Linked DNA regions of Mus musculus. The protein of the gene in region 1 purifies or fractionates together with the protein of each later gene. This does not show direct contact. Links are inferred from orthologs where the notes say so. Each region holds a gene or a part of one and is shown in the gene's direction. Other genes may lie near its edges.

Region 1 (3,648 bases):
AGGGTTTCTCTGTGTAGCCCTGGCTGTCCTGGAACTCACTCTGTAGACCAGGCTGGCCTCGAACTCAGAAATCCGCCTGCCTCTGCCTCCCAAGTGCTGGGATTAAAGGCGTGCGCCAAGCCGCAGTGGCTGGGTTATGGAGATAAAAGTGAGTGAGTGAGGCACTGCCTTAAAAGTGTGAGGACCTGATTCAGATCCCCAGGACCCATGTAAAACATCAGGTGTGTGTGTGCTTATAAACTCAGCACTAGACAAGTGGAGGTAGGCAGGTCCTGGGTCTCACTGACCCCAGGATGGGGGTGTCCCTGTCTCAGAATTCAAATTGGACAGGACCCAAGAAACAGCGAGTGCTGAGATGTTGTAACCTCTGTCCATGTGCATACACATAGAAATGTCTTGGTGTATTCTTAAAATTATTTTATTGGGTTCTAAAACCTCTACCTTCCAACCCTTATTTTACCCTAATTTCTTCCAACCCCTCAACATTAGGTAGGAGAGAAAGAGGGTCTAGACTTCTATAGGCTACTTCCTGCTGATTAGGAGCAACTTCAATCTTCGACACAATATCCAGTAGTTTTACAAACCAGCAATTTAGCAATCCACCAATAGCAAACATAACTGCAGTGGGGCAGGTGTGTGTGTGTGGCAGTGATGACAAGAGCAATTGCTGCCTTCTTATGAGCCCCTCCTACCCCTCTTGGAGCTCTAGCATTTATTCCCTCTCCAGAGCCCCCAGAATTAAACTATTTGCATCTGGTAAAAATTATGCCCCTCCTAGAGCACAAGTCAGTCATAGTTATGGCTGTAGACAAACTGAAGCAGCCCCATGTTCCACACCTGGGGTTAAAACAAAAATGTATTTGTAGAACATAACTGGGTTTTAAAAGAAGCCAAACCTCTTACTACAGACATGTCAGCTCATAAGATAACATACTAAAATACAGACACTGATCTTCAAACATTTGTGCTTACAAGACAGCATACTAAAGAAAACATAGACACCGATGTTCATGGTCTTGTTTAAAGGAGTGAGTCTTATCCCAGCCAGGTCTAGAATTACCTGGAACACATTTACAGATGTTCATACAAGCAGAACCTCGTGATGTCACCTCGGCCTCGGCTTCATAGGAGGTCAGCAGCATTCCCATTTAGAGGCTTTTGCATTTCCTCAGGGCACACAGCTAAGTGAAAGCTCAGTCCCACAGTCCTGGATTCTTGACTGCAGGAACTGAATCTCTGTAAGGATCCAGGCAGGATCCTGCTGTATCTGCTCATTTACAGAGCCACTCCCACCTCAGAGTGACTCTTTGTTACCTAAGACTAACTCAGCTTGGAGCCCTACCCCATCCCAACAACTATCCTGGGACCCTCATCCCTCTAGCTCTCAGGACTGTCATGAGGGAACCTGGCTCTGCATTTGGTGTTGGTCTGTGTGTCATTCTTTTTGAGTCCCCAGCTGTTATTTGTGAGCAGCCTTTGTCTTGCGCGTGCACACGAGCGCACACACACACACACATATATTCTCTCTCTCTCTCTCCTGCTGCAGTCCTGGATACCTTAATTGTCTCTGTCTTCTTCTGTTAATATGAAAGAATGGAGGAGACAGTGTAGGGTGGGAATCCAGATTAGTGGCTGTTGAGCAGGAGGCACAGTGGTGCCCCTAATCGCCATCAAGTGACATTTAGTTCTGATCTTGTTGACACCTAGTAGATCCTTCTGGGATTAGGTCTAGCAGCTGATTCCCATGTGGTCTCACCAGTTGTTCAAACATCAAAACCCTCTTACTGGAGACATGGGTGTTGTATCAGGCCTGCTTCCTCAGACTCTGGGCATCGCCGTTGTAATTGGAGGGTGTGAGCTCTGGCACTAAGGGCCTCTGGGCCTTTGCCTATGGTGGATGCCATTGTCACAATGGTTGACATTTGTTTGTTTTTGAGACAGGGTCTCAACATGTAACCCAGGCTGGTTTTTAACTTTGAATCTTCCCTTTTCCTGTGACAGCCTGACATCACATGGGAGCAGAGTTGGTGTTAAGCGGTTACTGGGTGCTTAGAGTCCAGTGCTCTTCCCGCCTCTCCTCCCTGCCTTGGCTCCAGCATCTCCCCCAGGAACCTGAACTTGCTTATGGGTGATTGTATTTCACCCATGGCTCCTGGTGCTGCCTGCCCCAGCTAAACAGTCAGTAGAACTTTTCACCTTCCTGGAGTCCTGAGGTTTAGGTGGATCTCAGCACAATACAATTGTCTTCCCAAGCTCCCTGGTAGCCAGAGTCGCAGTTGTCTCTTGTAGAAGTGACTGGGTTCCTGGCCTTTTTTGTTCTTGCCCAGCTCTTGATGCCACATTCTTCCCTCTGCCTGTCTTCTGTCAGGTGTCAGTGGTTCAGGGAAGGAGTCAAAGCCGGTGGAAAATGGGATGCTGGTGACAGACACCGTAGGAAAGCACCTGCAGAGGTAAGCATTATGTATGTGTGTGTGTGTGTATGTGTGTGTGTGCCCAGCCCTGAGTTGCTCCTGCCCGGCCCTGAGTTGCTCCTTCTTGGATCTGTGGGATCCGAGAAGGGACTGGTGGCCTTTCACTCTACCACCATAGCTCCCAGGAATTTGGAATTCCTGTCTATTCTGCCTGCCTCATCATCCTTCGAGAGCCTTCCCAGGAAGGACCAGCACTGACCTATAACTCATTCAGGCCTGCCCTTGAATTGTATGTTCCTGCTTCTGAAACTTGCCCTCCACCCCCATATGATTTGTGTCTTTCTTCAGGTAGCTGATACAGGGTTTGACATGTTGGGTTTTGTGAGCTGGCACATGATCACAGACAGTCACACTAATGGTGATACTGCTTTGGGAACTAGGCACATTTGTAGGCCTACAGTCTCCTGGGCTCTAGCTTGCTGCTAGCCTGTTCCGATCCACATCAGACAGACAGAGGCTTACCAGTTCTGCAGCTCTAGAGATGCCCAGTGCTGAGCCAGTGACCCTAAGCTTTATCTATGCTGCTTTCAGAAGACTGCTTTGGTTTAGTTTGAGGGTTTTTTTTTTTTTGTTTTTTGTTTTTTTTTTGTTTTTTTTTTTGTTTTTTGTTTTTGTTTTTGTTTTTGTTTTTGAGGCAGGGTCTTATGTATCCTAAGCTGGCCTTGGACTGAATAGATAGCTAAGGATGAATTTGAATGCCCGGTCCTCGATCCTCTTGCTTCTATCTTCTTGATGCTAGGATTACAGGTGTGGTGCCGCTATGCCTACTTTATCCAGTGCTAGAGTTGAACCTAGAGCTTCATGCATTCTACCAACTGAGCTACATCTACAGCTCCCAAATAATTTCTTTACATGAAAGATTTTTCTGTTTCCTCTTCACACGCACCACAGCAGCTCTCATTCGTGACATACACATCCCTGTCCCTGGAAACACAGGAGCACAGCTATGTGTGAGCTCGCACTCCCTAAGGTTCTTTGACTGGCTCCCTACTCTCCTTGGTAACAGGCATCTCAGCAACTCGTCTTCCCACAGTGGGGATACCAGCCAGCAACACAGCAGCATAGCCGAACTGCAGAAGGCTGGAGCTAAGGAGGAGACGTGGAAGCTAATGGAAGCAGACAAGGCCCAGACAGGGCAGGTGAGTGAGGCACAGTGCACAATGATTTGCTTGGTGTG
Region 2 (3,748 bases), on another chromosome or scaffold:
TTCTGGTTTGTTTGACTATTTGTATTCTAAAGAGAGAAATAAAGAAGGCATGGAGTCAGGTGGTTGGGGGAATCTGGGAGGAGCTGGGGGTGGGGAAACATGACCGGGATATAGTGTATGAAAAATTATTTTCAATAAAAAGAGTTAGCGGTAGAAACATCAACAAATATTTCCAAAAAGGCCATTTGTACATAACCAAGGCACAGTACCCTCAGATTCTACGTTGCTCTAGTACTAGTGTACTAGTGTAGTTTACTCAAATCTCCTCAGTTGCTTGGTTGTGTTCAATAGCCCTTTTGTTTTATCCACAGTCCAACTGAGACTCACAAAAACACTTTAGCATTACATCTTTTTGTTCTTAAACCCTTTTCTTCATCTTTCATGACATTGAAGATTGAGCAGTTGCTTCGCAGAACGTCCCTTAATTTGGATTTGCTTTCTCGCCCATAGACAAATTACATGCTTTGTTAAGAATACTGACTCGTGGGCTGGAGAGATGGCTCAGCCGTTAAAGGCTAGGTTCACAACCAAGAATATAAGAATATCGACTTGTGTCCCTTTCTGTGAATGACAGGGCACCTGAAGTTAGCTTTAGTCACTTGGTGAAGGCGATTTTCTGGCTGTGAAGGTCCTTTCCTCTTCAGTAAATAATCCGCGGAGTGAGTGAGTCCTGGGAACCATCGGGATCTCCTTAACCGTTTGCTGGGGAATCGGTTGTCACTAAGGTGGCTCTAAAGCAGTGGTGTGTTCCTTGCACAATTCCTGCGACATTGATTTCTCTTCTAAGAAGAGCTCTCTCTCCATCCTCTCTCTCTCTTGAATTAACTTGCATGCTCTAGAAGCCCGCAGTCGCCTAACCTCTAGGGCCTGGGTTTTCTCTCATCGTTCCAACTGAGAAGACTCACATTTTAAAATTACAGTTGACCTGGGACGAAGTTCCCATAAAGACCTGCAAGTCATCCACCATAGAGAGGGTGGCAGGGTCTGGGAGCGACACTCTGGCTGGCAGCTCGCGTCCGCAGAGCCCGCCCTGGGTCTCTGCTGGCGCCCTGCCCGCCCGCGCCCCTTCAGGGGACAGTAGCTACGGCTTTGGCACATTCTCGCGAGAGCCGCGCCTCCCGGCCCAGCAAAGGTCCTCAAAGGCCTTTCGGCCATTTCCACACCACCCCGCGCCGGTCACCCGCCAGCAGGGCCCCCACTGCGCCCGCGCACTCGCCCGCGCACGCGCAGCCGGACAGTTGGCCTAGGCGCCCGCCGCGGGGCCCCTTGCACGTCTGGTCTGAGGCGCGGCGCCGCGCCGCGCGCACTCGCGCTGGGGGACGACGGGCGCGCAGGCGCACAGGCGCGGCGGGGGAGCGAGGTCGCGCAGGCGCAGACGGCGTTGGTTCGAGAAGACCTTCAGCGTTGCCTTGGTGGAGCGGGACGGGCCCACCCTCGGGTTGTAGGTGAGGCGACCGCTGCCGCGGGCCGGGTGGGCGGATGGCCGGCGGGCCTGAGGAGCCGGCCGAGGCCACGGAGGAGGAGCTGAGGGGCGCCGACCTAGGGCGAGGCGAGGCAGGGGAGACTCCGCTGCCCGGACCCTGTTGGTCGCCTGAGGGCGGGAGTCGCCGCCCTGGGCCGGCCGCGACCTTCCGCCGCACCCGGCGTGCGCACTGGCGGTCTGCCCGGGGCCAGGCTGGAAGGCGGGCGGTTTCTAGAGAGGACGAGTCCCGGAACCCCAAACCTACACCCGACCCTGTCCTCACCCCGCTGTCTGGTGTGTCCAGCACTTGTCAGGCGTGTCTTGCACTCCCGACGGCCGAAGGGTGGATGCTCTTCATGCATCTTAAAAAGCAGAAACAAGGAACAAAAGAGAAGCTGTCTCCTCTAGTTAGTGCCTTTTGTCGTCCTCTCAGGCTCTAATGCAGCCTCAGGGCATGGTGCATAGCTGTCTTGTAGCGCTAAGATGATTGTGAGGTTGTAGCTTGACTCTCGAGTAACATGGAGTCCGGGTTTTCTCGATTTTTTTGCTTGATCATACCAGCAGTGCATTTCCCATTAGAATCATGGGTCCGAGTAAGGGACAGTTTGGGCATGAACGACTTCAGTTATCCACTTGACTTTTGCAAAGTGATGATTTTTGAGAAACAGTGGATCAAAAACGCTAAACGCAGCTTGTAAATAGCACTTAGACATTTCGACCACCTTGGTTTATTTTCTCCCTGATCAGTATGAAAACCTAAAACTGTATAAACGTTTCTGTCTGAATACGTAAGACCTGTGTTTCCTCCCTCCTAGAATGATGGCAAAAGATTTACATTACTACCGGGACTGTAAAATTACCCTGCTAGTGGACTCCAAACTCTGTAACATAGAGCAGAATTTTATTATAGATTGATGTAGAACATCAATACCACTCATTTGCCTTGACTCCTTAACTTTTCCTTTTGATTGATGCCTTGGATAAAACCCGTGGCATCAATTATAGATCCTCTTCTATGTAAGATAAGTGCTTTACCCATACGCCATCCCCATTTCTCTATAAATTTTGGGTGTGTGTGTGAACTTGTTTATGTGGTGTATGTACACGTTTGTGTGCACATCCGTATGCATGTGGAGTCCAGTGGTTGATGTTGGGTATAGGTCTCCTCACTGAACTGAGAAGTCTTCCTGTCTCCGCACTTTCCCTACCCCAGTGCTGTGTGGGTCCTCATATGCAGTTCCTCATGCTTGTGTGACAGACACTTTGCCAATTGAGCCATCTCCTTTGCCCCGACTTTATATATGTTTTTTTTGTATGCTCTTTCCTCTTAACTTTATATCATAGTGTGTGCATGTGACAGGTACAAATTTTCAATGACTTTCCAGTTAGGACATAAGTCTTGCTGAATATGGTGGCACACAGCTATAATCCTAGCTCCCCGGAAGCTAAGGACTATCATATGTTGAGAGAGGTCAACCTTGCTACACAGTAAGTTTGAGGTGAGCCTGGGCTATAAACCAAGGCCCTGTTTATTTATAGGCAAAAGCCTAGCAGGAATTGGATTAAGAGTTGGACTGACTGAGTATAAATATACAGGGTAGTTATTTAAATGATTTGCAAAGTGTCCATAGTTCAGGCATAGTGATCGTAACTGGAAGATGTGTTCAACCTGTTGATCTGACACAACTTCATCTACAAAGTTCATGGTCAACAACTTTGTCATCTATTAAGGTCACGCAGTCAGGCTTTTTTTTTTAATTTTTATTTTTATTCAGAGTCTCATTATGTAGCACCTCTAGCTTGCTTCAGATGTACAAATTGTGTCTGCCTCTGCCTCTGAGTGCTGGGGTTGAAGTCACGTTTCCCCATATCCACCCTGTGTTTTGTTTGTCTTTATTCATGTATATATTTCATGTGTGTTGCACACTTGCGCTTGTGCACGCTTTTGCTTCTTCTGCCCCTGTGTGCCGGTCAGAGGATGACTTAGGGGAGTTGGTTCAACCAACCATGTGTTCTGGCATCAGAATCAGGTTGTTAGGTTTGGTGATTTGTACCTCGTTGAGCTATCTTAGCCCCAAATTAGAGAGTTAGTTTGATGTGTTTAGATGCCTGCATGCCACTGGCTGTGTCAGAGGACAACTTGTGGGAGTTGGTTCTCTCCTTCCACCCAGTGTGTCTGAGGGACAGAACTCAGGTCCTGAGTCTTGGCAGTTAGTGCCTTAATTCCACCTCACTAGCCTCAAATCTCCTGTTTACTTTTTTGTAGATAGAGTCACATTCATAGGT

What was found. The genes of interacting proteins can lie anywhere in the genome.
Region 2: the proteins of Abcc1 (region 1) and Vdac3 fractionate together in Homo sapiens (co-fractionation; 3 studies listed by BioGRID). This does not show direct contact. The link is inferred for Mus musculus from reciprocal best matches to the Homo sapiens genes ABCC1 and VDAC3.

The regions. Positions count from the first base shown.
Region 1 is NC_000082.6:14,455,520-14,459,167, forward strand, and holds part of Abcc1 (multidrug resistance-associated protein 1), read left to right. Parts: intron 1-2,368; coding exon 2,369-2,450; intron 2,451-3,477; coding exon 3,478-3,610; intron 3,611-3,648.
Region 2 is NC_000074.6:22,591,381-22,595,128, reverse strand, and holds the start of Vdac3 (voltage-dependent anion-selective channel protein 3), read left to right. Parts: upstream 1-1,315; 5' UTR 1,316-1,445; intron 1,446-3,748. UniProt on the Homo sapiens protein: Non-selective voltage-gated ion channel that mediates the transport of anions and cations through the mitochondrion outer membrane and plasma membrane.